Caenorhabditis elegans: one gene and its partners. The protein of the gene in region 1 interacts with the protein of each later gene in a pairwise test. Each region holds a gene or a part of one and is shown on either strand. Other genes may lie near its edges. The genes, in order: stam-1, zipt-2.3, ant-1.1 and clec-48.

Region 1 (6,301 bases):
AGCAGACAGTTTATAACATTTTTTTACTATGATATTTGGTCTTTAGGCATTTTTTAGAGCAACTTCCACACTGGCACTACTACTATTCCTATTTTTATACAACTCACGATTATGAACTGCAATCGTAGCCATAGTTAACACTATATATCGATGAGGACTTGTCGTTTGTCCAGGTGGAAATTTCTGTAGAATTGCATCGATGACGTGGCTAACAAATCGTGTATTCTTTGCCAGAGTAACAAGAACTTCCATCGAAGATTCTGCCCATTCAACGTCAGTATCTTTTGTCATGTTCATTTCTTGAGTTGCAAGATTTATGATCAACATTATTATTTGTTCATCTAATTTCGAAACTACTTCACAATTATCTACGCATATTGAAATTGTTTGAAGAACAAACGCCCGTTTGAACGCACCGAGCTGAAAATTTTACTTTTTCAAAAAATTTTAATAAGAAAATTAATATACCTTGGGATTCTGTAATAAATATTGATGACACGCAGTTAATAGAACATTTGGTTGATGTGATCCTATTGTTTTCAATGATTCTGCTACTTCATTTTTCACACTTTCTTGGTGTTGGTAGGTGGTTGCTGTGTCCAGAAGACTCATTATCAGGTCTGAAATTATCGAAATATAATAATTAGATGGGATTACTACGAAACTGATATTTTAATTACAGTTTTATATTAAATTCTTTCAAATTTATAAACCAAATTATTAAAAATCCAATTTCAGGTCTCAAAACATTTTTAAAGCAAATCTTACCCAACAAGCTAGAAACCTGGCTGGTTGCTGCCATTTTGTTGCTGATTCGATGCAATCCACTTTACATAGATTTTGGAATGACTGAAAAAAGATAAAATAGTCTAGGATTTTTAATTAACCGAGGAAACTGAAGGTAAGAGATAAGTTTTTAAGAAAAAATTCGAAAGAATATTTTTTTGAAATTTTTTTCAAAAATTGTACCGAAAATATTCAGAACAGACATTAGGAATATTATTTTTAACAACCTATTAGTTGTTCTCTTGAAGGTTGGCTACTGCCAGTGGGGAATGTGTAAAATAATTCCTATGCTGTGACCAAATGACTAAATGTCATAATAAAATTGTCAAAAAATTTGGAAATTATGGAATTTTTCTTCGATTTTTTGACTTAATTATGTTTAAAATACTTATATTCCAACATTGTGGAGATTCAAACATGCGACAGTGATTTAGATTTTTCAAATTTGACTCGAAATAAAAAATTCCAAAATTTTTTGAAAATCTTTATAACGAGATTCGGTAATTTCAACAGCATATGAATAGTTTTTAATAATTTCCCCATTAGTCGTAGTCCACTTTTAACTTTAATTAATAATTAAAACCATTAAGGTTTAAAACCGAATTTCAAAAAAAAATTTCGATATAGAAGACTAAGAATAAAATATAACTTTAAAGAAAGAAGTTATGAAAGTTTTTGTGAGTAAAATGAGTACCAATGTGTATTTTGGGAGGCACGGGGTTGGTGATGAACATTATGTGTTGTATTACGCATGCCATAGACCAGTTTTGCGCGGATTGCATGATCAAGTCGATTGACTTTTCGTCTTTTTCGATTAAATTGATAACCGATCCAGAATAATACTTATATAATTTCATTGAATTACAAAATTCAAATGAGTTAGTAAAAAACTAGAACATTCAGTAAAATTTCAAAGCTATTTGCAAACCACAAACTTGAAATTTGAAAAAAATCAAACATGGAAACTCTAGACAGTGTACACAGGACAAATTACACTGATTAATCTATATCAACTCGCCAAGTTTACAAAATTTCGTCGAAAAACTGATAAGCACATGCAAAAATTCGTGTGAATTGGCTCTAGATAGAAAAATATGAATTGGCTCTAGATAGAAAAAATAACTAAATCGATAATGTTTCGTGTCGTTTTCGATGTATTTTTATGGCTCGCTATCGGCAGCAGCTACCGCTTGTGGCTGTTGTTGGGCCCCTTTTTGACGAATTAGGTGAAGAGAATCGAACGGAAATGAAAATTTATATGAACACAGAGTGGAAGAGTGGTGAGAGAGAGAGAAAAGAACGAAAAGCAGGTGGAATCAACAATGAAAGTGCAAACAATTGTGCTTATAAACAATTTGGATTTGGATTTTTTTTCAACAATTTTTAAAAATTCTATTACGATGAGAAGTAAGAAATATGAATGGAATAAATAGAAGTCTGAACAAATTTTTTTGAAAACGAAAAATTGAACATTTTGTTACGAAGCGTTTTCAGGTTCTAAAGTATTATTTTTTAGGAAAAAACATTAAAAACGTCCCAGTAATCTACTTTTAATAATTTTGAACTAATTATTGAGTAACATTTAGTTTTAAAAGTTTAGAAAAAGCATGGACACTGAAAATTAAAAAAAAACATGTTTAAACAGAGAAAAAAATTTGAAAGATTAAAGGAGCGCGCGATTTGTAGCATGAGGGTCTGCCACGAATTCTACAGTTGTTCAGATCATTTTTTTTGAATTATTCCACAATCTTTCTTCTCTTTGGAATTTAATTTTTCTCGAAAGTTATTTAATTTTTCTATAAAAATGTGCATTGCAGTTTTAAAATGTTTTTTTTTTCAATTAAACGCATGAATGTGATTGGTACACGCGTGAGACGCAAGTTCTCGAAAATCTGCGATTGCGAAAGGCAAAAGTATTCATTTTTTCGAAAAAATAAACAAATTGCTCAAACTAAATTGAATATCGATCGTCTTTGCCCTCAATATTTTAAATATCACGCTTTTGAAAATTATTTCGAAATAAATATTCAGTTTCAGTGAGACTCATTCAATTGAACCTGATCACGTGCTGAAAGTCTGCTGTAACAATGAAGGTTTGTTCGTTTTCCTATCTCTACTTTAATTAAAAATAGTGTTAAGAGTAATTGTTCATTCAAATAGATTTTTTTTCATTCAGTAAAAAATGATTAAGTTTTCGGAAAGGAAGAAAACAAAACAAAAACATAGAAAAAAGTGTGCACGAACGAACACACAAAGCATATGCGTCAGTGTCTTAACCCGTCTAATGTCTCTTCATCCCCCTACACTCTCTCTTTCAGTTCACCCGACTAACACATTCAACAAGCAAACCCGTTATTGATTCAATTTTCTTTCGTAATATTCCTTTTTTATATTTTCAGAAACAAAAGTCATTTCCAATGTCTGCTTATGAGGATTTGCTCGGAAAAATCACTGCTCCAACTATCACTGTTGAGAATTGGGAGGGAATTCTCGCATTTTGTGATATGGTTCGTTCAATTTGTTTTAAAAAATGTATAAACCTTTTCACTGATTTATAGATAGAATTCTTTGTCGTTTGATAAAAAATCATATTTTAAAATTAAAATTTCCTCCTTAAATTTGCTAGCTGATTTTCACCGAAAATCATTGATTTTGGACTAAACTTAATGTTTTAGTTTAAAATTTTCAGATTAATAACGACTTCGAGGGATCGAAAACAGGAATCAAATCACTTCGTAAACGTCTCAACAATCGTGATCCTCATGTTGTCCTTCTAGCGATTTCTGTACTTGATTCGTGTTGGGCAAACTGTGAAGAAAGATTCAGAAAGGAAGTATCGTCTGCACAATTTATCAATGAACTCAAAGCTCTTTGTACATCGGTGAGTTTTTGTTTAAATCTGAAATTGTTAAACAAAATATCAAAATTTCTTTCATGAAGTTTTGTATTTCTTTAATAGATATAGTATACGCAGAAAAGAGATAAAAAAGAGAAATAGAGTTAGAAAAATAAGTATAATACGAAAATACGATACATTTCACCGCGTTTACAAAAAAAAATACAAAAATTTACAATTATTATAGAGTCAACGCCAAGTTGCTGAAAAAATGCGATTAACTGTTCAAAAATGGGTGGATACAGAATGCAAAACTGAACAATCACTGTCACTTATCGTCACTCTTCACAAAAATCTTGTTGCTGATGGCTACTCATTTGTTGTGGATGATCCAAAAAGTAAAACGAAAGCGATTGATGCAAAGTTTGCAAATGATCCGAATTATGTGAGTTGTGGAAGTTCGCGGCAATAAATATCAAAAATTAATAATTATTATAGGTTGGATCTGCTCAGGAAGAAGAAGCAATCGCAAAAGCCATTGCTGCTTCATTGGCGGATGCAGAGAAACAGGAAAAAGCAAAAAAATCAACATCCACAATGTATCCATCAGCAAAAGCAAGTAGTCCAGCAGTTCAGACTAATTCGAATATTCCGGAAAAGAATGTTCGAGCGTTATACGATTTTGAGGCTGCTGAAAGCAATGAATTATCTTTTGTTGCTGGAGATATTATTACAATTACTGATGAAAGGTAAGCAACAAAAATGTGTTCTAGTTTAAATTGAAAGCAATCGCTTAAAAATCAAATCAGGAAGTTCTTCAGTTTTTTTTTTTGTAATTTAAAATTAATCATACCGAACCTTTTCGTTACTGACTGCTTCTATCAATTATCAAAAAAAAAACAATTTTTTGCAGCAATCCCCACTGGTGGACTGGTCGTATTGGTACCCAACAGGGACTTTTCCCATCCAGCTTCGTTACTAATCAACTCGATGATCTAAAATCAAAAGAGACGGATTCATCACAGAAAGCCCCAGAAGTTGTAGCCTCAATTAATGAAGCAATCCTTGTTCGTTGTCTTCAAGTACTCCATGAATGTGATCCTACCGGTGAACGACAGGATCCAGAGGATTTGGCCCAACTAGAAGCCGCCTCGTATGCTCAAGGAAATCTCATTGATGCACATTTGGCTAGTATTGATCGACAGAGCAACTCTCTAGCACAAATCGATGTGGCTATTCGTGATGTGCTCGCACTTTATGATGATGCGATTCAGAAGGGAGGATTTCAGCATCAAAGTCAAGGAATGTACCAACAACCAATGCAACAGTACAACTATCAGCAACCAGTCAGTTTTTATTCAGAAAAAAATATTTAGAAAACTGAAATTTTTCATTCTAAGCTTCACGGTAATGCCTATCAATTCAAAAAATCGTATTTTTCAGCCAAACCGAGCATATTACCCACCTACCGGTCCTGTCCAACAACAGCAGCCACAACAATATCCTCCACAACACTATCCGGCTCCTGGAGCACAACCACAGTACGCATGCCCACCGAATTCTGTTCCCCAACCTCAACAACAGCAACAACAATGGCCTGCTCCGTCTTCACAGCCTCAACAATATTAACTTTTTGATTTGTTGTGAATATCACCTTTTCCTCCTTGAATCTGTAACTAGTTCCATTGATATTGTGATCACTTCTAACTTATTTTTCTCGATTCGCCACCCGTTTCTGTATAGTCTTTTGCTTCCTCGAGTTCTCGATAAGATAAAAATGAATTCTTTATTGAGTTTGAGGCAAATATTTATTATACACGAAAATAATCGGATAAATTGAGAAAAGGTAACAAAAATTACAAGAGGTCCGGATCAAAAGATGGCATTGAAATTGATGCATTGGCTGCTCGAATGGATCGTTTACCCCATCCACCGCCTCCCCATCCACCTCCACCCCATCCACCTCTTCCACCACCCCATCTTGATCCTCCCCATGGATCATTGTTTCCCCATCCACCACCTCCATTTCCACCCCATCCTCCATTATCTCCGAAATCGTCACGTCCCCAACCTCCACGTGGTGGTTGACGAGATGGATTAGTCTGACGAACTTGTGCAACTGGAGCAACTGATCCAGCTGTAGTTCCACACATTCTACGAAGCTCTGATTGAGTATAGCAACTGTTACAGCTTGATCTACAATTCTCAGCCATCCATGGATTTTTCTGACATTCACCGACACGAGCCCATCCGGCACATGATCTATGGTAGTCGACGCATGCTGAAATATATATTTTTTAATTATAAAAATATTTTTTTAAAAATAAAGCTTACATCCATAATTGTAATCTTCAGGATAGCAATGTCCACATGAAACTCGACAATTACATGCCATATATCTTGTATTTTTTCGGCATTCTCCCATTAATCCCCATACAGCACAGCAAACATTCTCATTGAAACAACCATCAGAATTATCACACTGTTGAGCTGGAGCAGGTGTCGTCGTGGTTACTGTAGTACCACCTCCTCCACACTCTTGAGCACGTGATCTACCACATTTATTACAACTTTTACGGCAATTTTCAGTCATCCAGAGTTGATTTTTGGTGCATTCACCGGAGCGGGACCAGCTACTGCATTGGGTATGACGATCAGTGCAATCTGGAAAATTATCGT
Region 2 (6,264 bases), on another chromosome or scaffold:
TTTTGAAATTACAGATTTTTCACGCCCCGCAAACGCGAATGGCACGTGGTGTCGGTGTGCCGATTTGATCTACGAGAATTGCGGGTATTTAGAGACCGATTTCTCAGCCGACGTCACATCTGTCTGGTGGGTAAAAATCCCGCATTTTTTGTAGACCAAAAAAGGCAACCAACCTCTGCCTGCGCTCATTGCATAATGGCACACGCGCACCCCTTAAGTGTCGGTACACAGCTCCCCACTACCTCTGCCGCCTCGTCCATTCAGTATCGCTTCTTCGGCTTATTAGCTAAGATCAAAGTGTAGTATCTGTTCTTATCGTATTAACCTACGGTATACACTCGAATGAGTGTAATAAAGGTTATATGATTTTTGGAACCTAGGGAAGACTCGGGGCTTGCTCCGACTTCCCAAGAGTCGTCCTGGCGTTGCACTGCTGCCGGGCTCGGCCCAGTCCCCCGAGGGGACAAAATAAACGAATCGCAAGTTGATCTGAAATGTCAAAGAAATTTTAGCAAAAAAGGGAAGTGTTCAAAAACGACTCCTGATTTTGGAATAAAAATTTCAAAAAAAAAAAAACACACACTTTTATTTGTAAAATTTTAAGTTCCAATTTTTGATGAAATATGGCTCATTCTTCTCCATTCACTAAAAACTAATAGAAAAACAAATGATTATCACTGAAATTTTTTAACATTTTCGATCAACTAGAATACGGTAACCGCATCACCCCGAAACCAATAAAAATATTTTACAGGTGTTCGCAAATATGATCGTAAAATACATATAGAGGGAGGAATTTTCGTGGAAAATTTTGCGATTTTTCTAAATCACCGGGAAATTTCGATTTTCTGTTCCATTGCTTCAAAGCTTCAAATAATCGTTTTGCAATTTGTCAACTGTAAAAATAAAGTAATTGTTCTCGGTGGCCGAACTTTTCCGTTTGGCGGCCACGATACTTGTTCTGTGACGTGGCGCTAACCTTGTTTTTAAGTACTTCTTTATTATTTGTTTATTTGCCCACACGGCTTGAAAAGCAGGATGTTTTCTACATTTTTCATTTTGAAATGATGATGTTTTTGTCAAATTATTATTTACAACTGTTTTGGCATTTTAAGCGGCTCAATTTTGAATTTGTTAAATAGTTTTTTTTTCAAGCCTTCAATCATAACATTTTTAAATTGCATATTCGATTTTGAAATTTTCAAAAAATTTACCGCAAAAAAATGCAAAAAATACACGGAAATTTGAAAATACCGGTTTTAAGCCATTTTTGGTTTCTTTCTGGAATTTTGCACGAAAAAATAGGCGCGGAAATTCAATTATAATTAAGCTATTCAGGTTTTTTTTTTCTCGAACGATACTGTAGGGTTACTGTAGGAGGGCAGTAGGAATACTGTACGGTATTGTAGGGTTATGAAGGGTTAGTATAGAATTATTGTAGAGTACTGTATGATTAATGTAAAACTACTGTAGTAGTACATTAGGGTGACTACTGAAGGATTACTGTATAATTACTGTAGGACTACTCGTGAATTACTGTGGGGTTACTAAAGAAGTGCTGTAGAAGTATTGTAAGCGTAATGTATGAGTATTTTAGGGGTATTATAGGGGAACTGTAGGGTACTGTAGGATTACCAAAAAGTTCTAGAAATTTTGCCAATTTCTTGCCAAGTTCCTAGAGGAACTGAAATTCTTTTGAAAAAAAAATTTGAAGGCGCAGATCACTAGAAAGAAACCTTTCAGACAAGGAACAAGTTTTTAAAATGTTGAAAAAAAAAGTTGCCTATAAAGCTTGTGACAAAATAAAACAATAAATTGTGGAAAAATACGGAAAAAAAGGATGATAGGATAAAAATTGTCTCTTTTTTAAATTTTCTAGATTAAAAAACCGGCAAGTTCAACGTACACATCAGTATCAAAGTCATAAAATGTGTTTAATTTTCATCAACTCTAGTAATACACTCCAAAAGCCCCACCGTCTTAAACACCGAAACACGACAATGTCAATTCATGACGAAACAGGCAAAAACCTATAAAACTCGATAGGCCTATATGTGCCAGGCCTTATCGAAAAAGGCCTCTCCCGACCTCTCCGCCCTAGTTTCTTATCAATTTTGCTGTGCTCTTTTCTAGTTGAAATCAACTCATTCAACAGATTTTTAGGTCGAACAAAATATGTCTTTGGAGTTGCTCAAATGGATTATGCTCGGAGTTATGGCCTTGATGACTATAATTTTTGGCCTATTACCGATAAAGGTAAGATTTTTGAATATTGGGTATTTTTTGAATTTTTACGCAAATAAAATGCCTGAACGCCTTGATTATGCCTACCTGCCTGCCTACCTGCCTATCTGCCTACCTGCTTACGCCTACCTACCTACTAATTCCATTTAAAAGATTACTTTGTAGACACAAGGCAAACGTATGTTAAAGCAGGCAGGCAGGCAAGTAGGATCATTCTCCAAAAGGGGATTAGGCTTAGGCTGAGGCTTAGGCTTAGGCAGAGGCTTAGACTTAGGCTGAGGCTTAGGCTTAGGCTGAGGCTTAAGCCTAGGCTTAGGCTAAGATTTAGGATTAGGCTTTTAGGCTTAGACTTAGGCTTCGGCTTACGCTTATTTAGGCTTAGGCTTAAGCTTGGCGTCAGTGGCGAGCGTTAGCGCGTTACTGACGCTATTTAGGCTTATTAGGCTGAGGCTTACTATTAGGCCAAGGCTCAGGCTAAATACAGCAATTCAAGATAAAATTGTTCAATTTTTTTTCAGGTAATTTCCTACCTGAACACGACGAAAAGTGCAATTCACCAACACTCTTCCCTTATTCTCTCACTATTTTCCTGTTTTGCCGGAGGAGTTTTCCTGTCTGTATGCTTTTTGGATATGCTACCGGATTGCTTGTAAGTTTGGAAAAAATTGGAAAAAATTGTGAATAATTTTCAAAAATTGGAAGAAAAACGGCGGAAAGAAATTAATAATTCTGAAAAAAATCGCTCCAAAAATTCTTTGAAATTTTTTTTAATTTGGTGGCCTAGTTTTTTCCCAAAAAAATTTTTTCTTGCAATTTCAAACGGAAATATAATTTTAAAAAATCTTAAATCACAAAAAATGCCATCTGGTCGTGGAAATAAAATTAAATTTTTATGAAAAAAAACCCAAAGAACCCTGAAAAACTGCTAAAAAAATTTCTAAATCGGTGGACGAGTTTTCTTTTTTCGCGGCCACCAAGCAAACATGTATGTATGCAAGAACGTCTACTAAGCATTTCAGAGAAGCCTGGGAATCCGTACAAACCGACACAAACTACACCAGTGACTACCCATTCGTCCAACTAATCGCCCTACTCGGCTTCTTCTTCGTCTACCTCACCGAAGAGTTATCCAGTGTGATCTGTAATGTAGGCCATGGGCATTCACATTCAAATGATCCAATTATGGAGTCCAATGTGACATTTCCACGTGCGAGACTAGCTACTGTAGGCAGTATTTTCAATGTGGAGGGGAATTTAGTGGAGCCGTGCAAGAGAAGTCTAGAGGTGGGTTCAGTGAACTTTTTTTTTGGTTGGACTAAAAGCTTTTCGTTGAAGTGAACTGGAAACTGATAACTTAGTGGTGATAAGAATATGACAGACTATGTGCAAATGTACAAAATGTATAGTATTTTTAACTTTGATCTACAAGGGTTTCAAAAAAGAAATCTGGAGACGTGTCTATATTTCAAACGGTCATAACTTTTTAGAGGCTTGAAAAGTAAAAAAGTTGTCAACTAACAAAATATAGAAAATTTAAAACTTCATATTTTGTTAGTTAACAAAATTTTGATAATAGTTGGCCTAGCGGAGTTATGAGCATTTTAAGTAAGCATACATTTTCAGAACTACGACGACGACGGTGAGGGTCCGGTACGCCAATCAATCATCTTCACCTCGGCCTTCATCCTTCACGTCTTCTTCGAATGCTTTGCGTTTGGAATTCAAGAGGATGCAGTTTCAGTCACGTCGATCTTCCTGGGAATCGCCATGCATAAGGCGATCGTCATGTTTTCTCTTGGGATGAAGCTCACGAGAACTCATCCGCGACGCAGTTGGATTGTCGTAATTCTTATTTTGGTTTTAGCACTGTTTAACGTGATCGGCGGAACAGCTGGAATTCTGATCTCCAGCTCGAATATGAATCAGACGCCGAAGGATATCACGACGGCGGTTTTGATGAGCTTCTCCCTCGGCACTTTTCTCTATATCTCCTTTTTTGAGGTGAGTTTAAGACACTATTGTGGCAGTGCGAGGTTACTGTAGAATTACTGTAGGGGTACTGTATTATGGTAAGGCGGCCATGTGGGGTTAATGTATTGGTTAATTTAGGGGTATTGTACTATAGTAGGGCGGCAGTACTAGGTTTACTCTAGGATTACTGTAGGAACACTATACTAATGTAGGGTGACAGTCCTAGGTTTACTGTAGGATTACTGTAGGGTGGTAGTATTAAGATTTCTGTATGATCAATACACTACTGTAGGGTGACAGCTCTAGAGTTACTGTAGGATTACTGTATGAACACTTTGTTACTGTAGGGTGACAGTTCTAGGTTTGCTGTGGGATTACTGTAGGAACTCTTTAGTACTGTAGGATGGCAGTACCAGGACTACTGTAGGAACAATATATTACTGTAGGTTTACTGTAGGATTACTGTAGGAACACTACTACTGTAGGGTGACAGCTCTAGGTTTGCTGGAGGATTACTGTAGGAGCTTTTTTCTACTATAAGGTAGTAGTATTACGATTACTGTAGGAACACTATACTACTATAGGGTGACAGTTCTAGGTTTATTGTAGGATTACTGTAGGATTACTGTAAAGCCACTTTACCTACAATTAACCCCATTCATATATCTTTTTTCTTCCAGATCCTTGCCCCAGAACGTGCCAACAACCACTCCAACATCCTTCAGTGGATCGCCAGTTTTGGAGGATTCGCCCTTCTCGCTGTCAACATGATTTGGGCTACCTAATCTTTTTTTTTTTTGTTTCACAATTTCTTAACACCTTGCATATTATACGTCATATCTGACATACCGGTAGATTTGAAAACAACATTTAAAGAAAAAATAAACTTATTATTTTTTTTTTTTGTCTTGAAATTTTTTTTTGAATACAAAACCAGAAATGTTTGAACCACAGTAAGAGAAAATGAAAAGAATCAATGAAAAATACCCGCTGTTGATGCGTCGTGGTCGTGAAAAACCTTGGCCACAATTATGCCCCCTAAAATCAATCGATACACATTACTGCCAGCCCGGTGATCCGGATCTTTGACTGCTGATGCTTGTCGGCGAGAGTTGATCTCGTGGTGATAGGCAGGCGGCAGGCGACACTGGCCTACTTATCAGTGCCGGCGGTGATGGAGATATCGTCAGCGAGTTCCGGTCGGCCATTAGGCGATAGAGAGCGTTCAGTGTTCGGTTACTAGACTCCACTTTTCGGTCGAGGCTTGACATCTGAAAAAATGAGAGGGTTTTAGTGAGGGGTACGGTAGTTTGGGGGTACTGTAGGGGTCCTATAAATTTAGAGGTACGGTAGGAGGGGGGTACTGTAGTAGTACGATATACTTGGAGGTATAGGGGTTGGGAATGTAGGGGGGGGGGGGGGGAGGGGTACTGTAGGGACACTGTAAAAGTGATGATATCACAGGTACGCTAGGGGTACTGTAGGGTTACTGTAGCCTTACTGTAGGATCCCTTCACTGCTGTAGGGTAGCAGTATTACGCTAGGGGTACTGTAGGGGTCCTATGAATATAGAGGTACGGTAGAGTTACTGTAGGGGAACTGTAGGATTACTGAAGGGTCCTTTTTCTACTGTAGGGTAGCAGTACTAGGCTTACTCTAGGATTACTGTAGGAACACTGCGCTACTGTAGGATAGGTTATATAAAATCAGAGGTGCGGTAGGGTTACTGTAGGGTTACTGTAGGGATACTTTCTAGATACGATGAAATTGACGGTACAGTTTGGACCAAAAATAGTTCAAAACATTTCTTATCTCACAGTTTAAGAACTTTAATTGTTTTTTTTTTTCATTTTCTTCCAAATTCCGCAACATTTCTGACCAAAAGGTGTGAAATTCAGAAAAAAAAATTCTCGTTTTCTTATCAATTTGATCTCTTATCATTTCGCCATTTCATTGACAAACCTGTAATTCGAGACGCGACAGTCTGGAACCAATTGTCACAGGATGTCCCTTCCGCGACCCTTTCCCGTCGTACTGACCCGGTTTTCC
Region 3 (4,807 bases), on another chromosome or scaffold:
TTGAGCTTGACGAGCGAGTTTGGCAGAACCGTGACCGAACCTCGCGACGTAATCTTTCATGTGTTGAAGTTGAGACTGTTCCCAGTTGTATCGTTTTTGTTGATTTTCGAGCAATTCAAGACGTGTCTTCACAAACTGGTCGTAGTTTCCTCCATAGTAAACCAATTGCTTTTGGAACAAATGAATGATGTTGGTGCAAACTCCGTTCATGAAATCTTGAGAGTGAGAAACCACCAACAAGGTTCTTTTATACTGAGCGAGTTCCTCCTCAAGCCACACACAAGCTTCCAAATCCAAATGATTGGTCGGTTCGTCGAGAAGTAAGACTGACGGTTTCAGGAAAAGTGCACGAGCGAGAGCAATGCGCATTCTCCATCCTCCAGAAAAATCTTTACATTTTTTCATTTGCATAGTTTTTGTGAATCCAAGTCCGTGCAAAATTTCGGCAGCCTTCTTTTCAGCGAGAGATGCATCCATTTCATCCAGCCTTTCGTAAACATCCATCAGCTTGTCCTGACTTTCCTCATCAGTCTGACTAGCAAGCTGCTCGGCAAGATGTTCCAACTCTTTTCTGACTGAATCGACATCAACGACCGCTTGAAGAGCAGTTTTCTCTGAAGCAGGCATTTCACGGGATACGAGGTACATATCCACGGACTCTGGGATTGGCATTTCCTTGTTGTAGATTGCCTGAATGATGGTAGACTTTCCAGATCCGTTCAATCCGATGAGTCCGTAACGACGTCCACGGTTGAGTTCGAGTTTCGTGTCAACGACAATTTCACGACCGTGGAATGTAATCTGAATGAAAACAAAGTTACTTGTTGGAGTCGCCAATTAAAAACCACTTACCGTCAGGCTTTCTACTCTGTGATCAAGACCCTTTGGATCGGAAGTCAATGATCCGGCGACTGAACGAGCAGCAGCGTTTTCCAATTCGATTTTGGCCAAGGTGGCGGCGGCCTGATCGAGCTCCTCGTCTAAACAGCAGAGACTGTTGACGGACGGATGTTGAGATGACATGGCGGTTGGTGTTTCTACCTGGAAATGAGATGATTATTATTTGTTAAACAAAAAAAAACTAAAAATCAATTGCTCACCTTCTTTTTTCCTTTTCCTCCTTTGGCGGCAGCCTTCTTAGCGGCCTCGCGTGCTTTCTTCGCATCAGACGGCATTGTTGTCCAGCAGTGATGCGGATGGGGTACCCTAAATTTTTATTTATTTATCTCTCAAATACACGGAAAAAGCGACGGATAAAAAATACGAGAGCGAAAATTCACATAAACTAGACGAGAAATCCTCAAAAAAAGCAGGAAAAGAAATATTATTTCAACGAAGCGAAGGCCTTTGGCATGGCACAGTGATCCAAATGGTGAACGTAGTCAGCCATCTCCTGATGGCAGGTCTCCTCAGTGTTAGAACGAGAGTTGACACGATCGTTGCACTCGTCGAGAATACTCTTGAATTCGGTGACATGGTCGGCACATCGCTCACGGTATTGAGTAAGTTGATCGACGTCAGCCTCGAGTGGCTCTTCCTTGTGGCTCGACATACTGATACCCGAAAAAAATTCCATGATAGTGACAAGTCATTGGCTCGATGAGAAGAGAAATATGAAGAAAACTACTTTAAAGCGATTCGAAAAACCGGTCATACCAAACTCCCGTAGGCATAAATTAGCCACAATGCGATATCGATTTTTTTCGGAACATTGAGGTTACGAATAACCAGTTATCTACAGTGTAAATAAACAAAAAACACTTCAAGTACTGCTTATCACTAATACACTATTGTGTTTGCTTTGACATGGCTCATAATTTTCATAAAAACTGAAACTTTCGCAATTAAGTTACTTTCTTGGAGTTATGACCTATTTTTCGAAAATAAATCACGTTTTTTTAATAAAACAAAACGTGAAAAATTCAGGAATGAAGGAACGAACACGTTTAGAAAAGAAAAATACGAAAAATCGATAACAAAACTGATATTTAGGCTCAAAATATGCAAAAAATCCCAAAACTGGGCGGTCAGAGAAAACTAGTGTTTGAATCGCCGCGCCTGACGCACCGTACTTGCGAGCGTGGCGAGACCTGCAAAGTGCCTCACGGGCTGTGCGCGCACCCCGTTTCGACGGGCGGCCGTCTTCCCACTATTGCTTCTGGCAAGCACCGACCACCGAGGTCCTTCAATCTTGAATCATGTCCAAAGAAAAGTCCTTCGACACCAAAAAGTTCTTGATCGATCTCGCCTCAGGAGGTAAGCTTTTTCAGTTTTTATTGCAAAAATTTGGAGGATTTCTATAATTATTAATTTTGGGTTTTCATTCGTCAAATTTGTGATTTAATTAATTTTGTTTTCTTTTAGGTACCGCTGCTGCCGTCTCCAAGACCGCTGTTGCCCCAATTGAGCGTGTCAAGCTTCTCCTCCAGGTGTGTGATGAAACTTTTTTCCACTATAAATATGAAAAATTTTAGGTCCAAGATGCTTCCAAGGCTATCGCCGTTGACAAGCGTTACAAGGGAATCATGGATGTTCTCATCCGTGTCCCAAAGGAGCAAGGAGTTGCTGCCCTCTGGAGAGGAAACCTCGCTAACGTCATCCGGTACTTCCCAACTCAGGCCATGAACTTCGCCTTCAAGGACACATACAAGGCAATCTTCCTTGAGGGACTCGACAAAAAGAAGGACTTCTGGAAGTAAGTTAAACATTGCATTATTGTTTTTAGAAAATTTCACATTTGAAATTCAGGTTCTTCGCAGGAAACTTGGCTTCCGGAGGAGCTGCTGGAGCCACCTCCCTCTGCTTCGTCTACCCACTCGACTTTGCCCGTACCCGTCTTGCTGCTGATATTGGAAAGGCCAACGACCGTGAATTCAAGGGACTTGCTGACTGCCTTATCAAGATCGTGAAATCCGATGGACCAATCGGACTCTACAGAGGATTCTTCGTCTCCGTGCAAGGAATTATCATCTACCGTGCCGCATACTTCGGAATGTTCGATACCGCCAAGATGGTCTTCGCTTCTGATGGACAGAAACTCAACTTCTTCGCCGCTTGGGGAATTGCTCAAGTTGTCACAGTCGGATCTGGAATCCTTTCCTACCCATGGGACACTGTTCGTCGTCGTATGATGATGCAGTCTGGACGCAAGGATATCCTCTACAAAAACACCCTCGATTGCGCAAAGAAGATCATCCAAAACGAAGGAATGTCCGCTATGTTCAAGGGAGCCCTCTCCAACGTCTTCCGTGGAACCGGAGGAGCCCTCGTCTTGGCCATCTACGACGAAATCCAGAAGTTCCTTTAAATTTGATAACACTTTGATAATTTTTACCTTGTCATTGTCCAACAAAATCTCGTTATGTAGCTTGTTTTAGCAAAGTAGTTCACCTAGCTACTATGTTAAGTTTTCAAAAATAAAGCGAGCCACATAAAAAGTTTTAAATCCTCTATTAAAGTTTTCCCCTTTTCAAATTCTCATTCTTTCCCTCAACACCCCGATTGAACATTCGTTAGGATAGCCCCTTTATCTGGACTCGGTTTGACAATCTCGGTTATTGCACCTGTGTTTGCCGTTGATCTTTAAAATTACTCGAACAACAATAAAACGTTGTTGATTTTCCCTTCGTTCAATTATGTGCCACAGAAAGATTTCAAACCGTAGCCGTTTATTAACGATGAGATTTTGTTTCGCAAGCAATGAGGTTCATTTGGGGTCAGTGGGGGAAGTGAATGCCAGGGAAAGCGAGAAAACAATGTGAGTAGGAAAGTGCAATAGTGAATAGTTAGACGTCAGAAGTGTCTGCGAAGTACGCATGGCGTAGAGCTGCATCGGCATCGATTCTTCCTGCTGGATTGCAAACAAGAAGTTTCTGCAAATACTTCGAGTTTGAGTAAGTATAATTTTTATTGGAAAAAAGTTACCTGTAAAAGATCACGGCCACGTGAATTCAAATTAGGTACGATTTGGCTCCATGTAAGCGTTGGATGGTAGATTGGGTAGGGCTGAAAAATGGTATGTTATACTTGTGTGTTCCTATAATGCAATGGAATTCAATTAATTATTGTCAATCTTAAATCTAGAACAGTTGTCTCTGCTTCTCTAAATCTACTCAATACTCTGTTCTCTGTCCTGTCCCAGCCGCCCGTGATTGTATGAATTACGTCACCCGAACAAACAGCTGAGCTCAAAGTACTCAATATCATTTCTTCTTTCTATCTTTTTCTTTTTTAGTTTTTCACCAATTGACACGGGCGGATAGTAGTCGGGAGGACAGGACAGCGGCAAAATCGTGGCAGGTAAAATGGAAAAGATAAGAAGACGGAATTAGAGAACTAAGAGAATTTGATAAGAATATGTAGAGGTGAAAATACAAAAAATTCAAAGAACTACGACATGTAATACCTTATAATCTGGAAGTTGTGTAATTGATGGCCAATTATCTTCGGATGGGCTGCCCAATTGCTTAAAAATTCGTTTCAATTGATCGTCAACATCAGCACCGGGGAATAATGGACGACCGGCATTTGAGATCTCTGAAAAAGTAAAAATTAGGAAAATTTATTGGCAAATTTAATTTTTAAAAAAAACCTGCAAAAATACACCCGGCAGACCACATATCAATTGAAGTATTGTACAATTTCGCTCCAAAAAGCACGTCCGGCGGTCTATACCATAACGTGACAACTTCTGCACTAAAACATCGAACTGGGACGCCAAACGCCCTGGCTAATCCAAAATCAGCTAGTTTCAGTGTCCCATTTGTATTAATCAGCAGGTTTTGCGGCTTGAGATCTCGATGAAGTA
Region 4 (4,998 bases), on another chromosome or scaffold:
CTGGAAATTCTCACAACTCCATCTGTCTGGGGTATATGGATTGGTGCTCTGGGAGATCTTATAGCCGTCCAACTGATTCACATCTACTCACCTGTCTATTTACACGATATTGGAGGCTATTCAGTGGAGAAGACCGGCTTTGCAGCGGCCGTACCGGTGCTGTTTCAGTTTTTCATGAAGCTTTTTGCAGGTGGGTATTCAATTTTGGTCAATTTTGTAGTGGGTGGCAATTGCCGTTCGGCAAATTACAGGCTTGCCAATTTGCTGGAAATTTTCAATTCCGGCAAATTGCCGGTTTGCCAGTTTGCCAGAAATTTTCAATTCCGGCACATTGCCGTTTTGCCGATATGTTGGAAGTTTTCAGTTCCGGCAGATTGTCGATTTGCCGGATATTTTCAATTTCGGCAATTTCCCAGTTTGTCGATTTGCTGGAAACTTTAAGTTCCGGTAAATTGCCGGCTTGTCAAATTTGCCTAAAGTTTTCTATTCCGGCACATTGCCGGAATCTAATATTTTGGGCTCTGGTTTAGGCTTGCGCAACATTTTTGACTTCAGACATTGCCTCCTGTGGAATCAAAGAAGGTAAATATGAACACCTCGCATGGATCGGTATGCACAAGGTTGGTCAGGACTGGGTATGGACTGACGGTACCCCATCAAACTACATCAACTGGGCACCAAAGCAGCCTGACAATCCAGGAAAGGAAAATTGTGTGGAGACGGCGCCGGATCTTTCTCACGATAAATGGTATGAGAACTGGAATAACGAAGCGTGCAGCACCGAGATGAGAGCTTATATCTGCAAGAAGGGATCTATTCATGCATAGATATATTGATATGTATACTAATATTTAATAAATTGGTTACACATTTGATACTGTTGAAAATTGAATTGAAAGATGCATGAAGGTATTCGCAAACTATTGTAGTTCTAGGACATTGTTGTACAAAACATTCGTACGCCCAATTCTAGAGTATGGTACAGAAGTCAGTAGCCCATTAAAAAGCAAGACATTAAAGCGATTGAATCAGTGCAAAACTCATTTACAAGAAAACTATATAGTAGGCAAAAAGACAGATACACCCGTACGGACGATCCAGACTATAAAAACGCAACCGAACGCAATGAACTGTTTAATTTATCTTCCCTAGAATCTCGAAGAATGGCTATTGATAGAAAATTCATTAAGCGAATGCTGGCGAAAAAAGTTGATATTGATACAAATAAATTCTTTGAAATTGATAAAAACAACAAAACTCGCACCAAAACAAAGTTCATCTGGGCGAAGTGCAAAACAAAATTAAGAAGGCATTTTTTCGCAAATAGGGCTCTTAGTACTTTTAAAGGTTAGTGTGGTCTAATTGGATATTGTCAAGTCCCAAAAATTGCCTAGTTAGCTGTATTCTTTACCCTCTTCATATGTTTTCTTGCATTGTCTCTCTACTAATCTCAATTTCAGGTGATAATTATACACTTTACATGTCAATTGATTATTATGTATTTCTTATGACTATGTTTCTTTTTATATTGATTGCTTTATTTGATTATGTGTATGTGTTCTATTGGTATTTAATTTTTTACACGATTAACTAATCGTATCAAAATAAATAAATAAATGAAGTCGGCTTGACAGCTTCTCAGATTTTAGTTGTACGCTTAAATTGAACTGAGACCTGGATTTACCAGGGTGCCGCTGTCAGAATTTCCGAATAGTACCAATACCACAGTACAGTACAGTAGTACCACAGTGCCGAGGACCCCAGCTACCGGCCCGGCCAGCACCCTCTAGGAGCAATTTTCGATACTGATCTCTGATTTCTGATTTCCATGTGGTCTGCCTAATCATATTTTGTTCTATGTACCCCGTGCTTCAAGAAAACACTTACTTGGTCAATTGAACTGTTGTCTTATCATAGACGTGTGCTTCCTATTTTTACGGGTTTCTTTCCGGGGTTTTCAGGTTTTATTGACCATTAAAAATTGACTCCGCCTTTATTAAAGACTATATTCCATTATGAACTCTCATTTTCTCTGCTCCATCATGATCAGGTTAACACTACTTCTATTCGGGCTATTGGGAGCCGCCACAGCACAGAACTGTAACACCGGTGGGATTTATAATTCGCAGTTTAATAGGTATGTTTCTTTGATGATGGTTACCTACCTACCTACCTGTCCGTTCTCCAGATGCTACCAATACTTCACCGCCCCCGCTCAATTCTCATTTGCCGAACAGCAATGTAACCTCCTCGGTGGCCACCTTGCCTCCGTCCAGAACGGCCAAGAAAACGCTCTTCTCCAGTCAAATGCAGCCAACTCTTTCAAAAAATCCAACTACTCCGATTACTGGATCGGAGCCAACGATCTCGAGACATCTGGTACCTGGAAATGGACAGATCCATCAGTGACATTTGATTATTCCAACTGGCAACTCGGCGAGCCTCAATCCGGAAGTGATTGTGCAATTCAGGATAAGGGAGACGGAACCTGGTCGGCTATTGGATGTACTTCCTACAGGCCATATTTATGTGTTACTCCTGTTATTATGACTGCCACGTGTCCACCAATCACTACACCCATTCGTAAGTGAACTAAAACATCAATTTGAATTTCGTGCCATTGTGAAATGAAACTCATTTGAAATATTGTCATCACCACGTGGTGTAAGCGTGTCTCATTTAGTCATCATTTCTAGCCTTTTCTGTGTAAAATTCGCGTAGATCACAAGTAGATCACTGTGTATTTATCTCTTAAACCAGAATTCTGTTGTTTTTTTTATTGTGATCAACAAATTCATTATGGTAAACGCGTGAGCTACGCGAATTTTACACAAAAATTGCTAAAACGATGACTAAACGCGCGGTAAGAACATTCCACATAAAAAATATTTCGGAACCCGTTTTGCGTCGAAAAAAACCATAGGAACATACTCTTCAACTCTGACATCAAGACTTAAAAAACCCGGTTGTCAAGGTTCTATTGAACTCAACTGATTACTGCAACAGTAATATAGTCAGCATTGTCAATATTTTAAACCTGCCTTTTTCCAGCAACCACATGCCCTACCCCAGCTCCATGTCCCATTAAACAGTGTGTCCCGTCTTGTGATCAAGGCTGGACCTACTTCTCTCCAACCGACTTCTGTTATCGTGTGTACCATGGTGAAAAGTTTAATGACGCTGAGGCATCGTGTGTGCTGTTGGGAGGACATCTCGCCTCGATTCACTCGCTGGCAGAAAACACTTTTGTGAATAGTGAGTATCTAATATTTTGGGCTCTGGTTTAGGCTTGCGCAACATTTTTGACTTCAGACATTGCCTCCTGTGGAATCAAAGAAGGTAAATATGAACACCTCGCATGGATCGGTATGCACAAAGTCGGTCAGGACTGGGTATGGACTGACGGTACCCCATCGGACTACTTCAACTGGGCTCCAAAGCAGCCTGACAATCCGAAAAAAGAATTCTGCGTGCAAACTGCTCCCGATCTTTCTCATGATAAATGGTATGAAAACTGGAACAATTTGGAGTGTAATGAAGTGATGCGGGCTTATATTTGCAAGAAGGCTTCGATTCATAATTAGATAATTGTTGTTAGTAGTACAATTTCAAGATAAAACTAAGCTTTTTAACACCCTGCTTTTAAATAATTCAAGCAACAAAAAATAATCCAGTAATTTTTTATATCAGCAAGTAGAATTCAGTTCTCATAGAGTCCATTGAAAAGTTCCGAAAAATCGATTGGCGCCAAGTACAGAAGAATTGCAAGGAAAATTGGAATAATGAAGATGAGAGCGAATTTTGGAGCCGATGACGTCATCGTTGGAGAAGTGGAAACGTCATCCATCTCATCAGTCTCGAGAATTTCAGATTCGATGTCCGAGTCGGTGTCATCTTCAATTTCAGGCTCAGAAGTGGTGCTGTTTTTGACGTTCTGGAAGAAGAATTTACAAAAATTAGGGGCTTATATTTTGGCTTAGATTTAGGCTTATGCTTATGCTGAGGCTTTAATTTAGGCTTAGGCTGCGGTTTCGGCTTTGCCTTTGGCTTTGGCTTAGGCTTTGACTTTGGCTATGGCTTTGGCTATGGCTATGAATTAGACTCAAGCTTACACTTAGGCTTAGGCTTTGTCTTAGGCTTTTGCTTAGGTCCTCCTCTAATTTTTGGGAGACCGCAGACAGTTATAGTGTCTTACTGTCTGCGGTCTCTCCTCCCCCTCAATACTTACTTCGTCACTATCAGAAGCATCCACCGGCTCTTTTCCGAATACCTCGTCTTCCATTTCAATCTGAAAAATGTATAATGAGTGTGAGGTAATGTGAGGAGAGAAAGAGAAACGAGACACTCTCGTCGTCTGCGCTCTCTCCCCTCCTTCACTCTATTTGAAAATTAGCCGTAAATCTGTTAGTTTTTGAGCGAAATCTATAAAATTCAGTTGTTCAGAATCAGGAAATGCTCACCTTTCTGAAATACATAATTGTGTCTTTAACTTCCGGCTCAAGACCCTCAAAATCCGAGTTGCGAAGATTCAAAATTGCTTTATGAGCATTCTGAAAATATTCCCGTAGTTCTAGAAGTTCTGGTGCACAAAGTCTCTTACTTGATCCAATTTCAGCATCGATAGAATCTCTTGATCTTCCGCGGAAATTTCCTGTAATTTAGGTACATTACAGAAAAAAGTTTTTCTGGATGCCCACCGCATTTCCATTCTCGTCTTGCTCCACAAGTTTTTCCAGATTTTTCAGATTTTCTACCGTCTGAAAATTGGATTTATTGTTGGAATTAATCGATAATTTCCAACTTTTAAAGTTTATGTTTTTATTAATTTCTCAAAAATCGGAAAAAAACTAGACAGTTTCAAAAAAAATTATAGTTTGAAAAGAAACATTTTCTAAATTGTCAAAGTCGATAATTTTGAGGAAAAAAACCCCGAAAACTGTCGATTTTTCAGAATTTGCTTTAAAAAATCGGATAACCAGAGCGCAGACAGTTAGAGTG

Evidence for each region.
Region 2: the proteins of stam-1 (region 1) and zipt-2.3 interact in a two-hybrid assay, tested with the Caenorhabditis elegans proteins (one large-scale study listed by BioGRID).
Region 3: the proteins of stam-1 (region 1) and ant-1.1 interact in a two-hybrid assay, tested with the Caenorhabditis elegans proteins (one large-scale study listed by BioGRID).
Region 4: the proteins of stam-1 (region 1) and clec-48 interact in a two-hybrid assay, tested with the Caenorhabditis elegans proteins (one large-scale study listed by BioGRID).

The regions. Positions count from the first base shown.
Region 1 is NC_003279.8:5,901,212-5,907,512, reverse strand, and holds stam-1 (Signal transducing adapter molecule 1), read left to right. Parts: upstream 1-2,817; 5' UTR 2,818-2,873; coding exon 2,874-2,879; intron 2,880-3,185; coding exon 3,186-3,293; intron 3,294-3,475; coding exon 3,476-3,667; intron 3,668-3,869; coding exon 3,870-4,067; intron 4,068-4,120; coding exon 4,121-4,371; intron 4,372-4,535; coding exon 4,536-4,968; coding exon of another isoform or gene 4,969-4,998; intron 4,999-5,065; coding exon 5,066-5,251; 3' UTR 5,252-5,408; downstream 5,409-6,301. Other genes in the region: hpo-27 (Maestro heat-like repeat-containing protein family member 1 homolog), read right to left, coding at 108-420, 469-620, 769-802; tyr-4 (ShKT domain-containing protein), read right to left, coding at 5,479-5,903, 5,957-6,286.
Region 2 is NC_003280.10:13,711,755-13,718,018, reverse strand, and holds zipt-2.3 (Zinc transporter ZIP3), read left to right. Parts: upstream 1-2,139; 5' UTR 2,140-2,175; coding exon 2,176-2,256; intron 2,257-2,762; coding exon 2,763-2,893; intron 2,894-3,263; coding exon 3,264-3,528; intron 3,529-3,756; exon of another isoform or gene 3,757-3,817; intron 3,818-3,867; coding exon 3,868-4,245; intron 4,246-4,895; coding exon 4,896-5,000; 3' UTR 5,001-5,113; downstream 5,114-6,264. Other genes in the region: kqt-3 (Potassium voltage-gated channel subfamily KQT member 1), read right to left, coding at 5,274-5,486, 6,178-6,264.
Region 3 is NC_003281.10:13,461,033-13,465,839, forward strand, and holds ant-1.1 (ADP/ATP translocase), read left to right. Parts: upstream 1-2,130; 5' UTR 2,131-2,198; coding exon 2,199-2,256; intron 2,257-2,364; coding exon 2,365-2,429; intron 2,430-2,474; coding exon 2,475-2,695; intron 2,696-2,748; coding exon 2,749-3,307; 3' UTR 3,308-3,620; downstream 3,621-4,807. Other genes in the region: abcf-2 (ABC transporter domain-containing protein), read right to left, coding at 1-801, 853-1,041, 1,101-1,175; T27E9.2 (Cytochrome b-c1 complex subunit 6), read right to left, coding at 1,325-1,552; cdk-5 (Cyclin-dependent-like kinase 5), read right to left, coding at 3,786-3,872, 3,925-4,005, 4,406-4,536, 4,592-4,807.
Region 4 is NC_003283.11:18,155,985-18,160,982, forward strand, and holds clec-48 (C-type lectin domain-containing protein), read left to right. Parts: upstream 1-1,893; 5' UTR 1,894-2,042; coding exon 2,043-2,137; intron 2,138-2,188; coding exon 2,189-2,583; intron 2,584-3,051; coding exon 3,052-3,255; intron 3,256-3,312; coding exon 3,313-3,584; 3' UTR 3,585-3,630; downstream 3,631-4,998. Other genes in the region: C14A6.13 (STP1 protein), read right to left, coding at 3,701-3,934, 4,229-4,288, 4,461-4,550, 4,601-4,651, 4,698-4,757.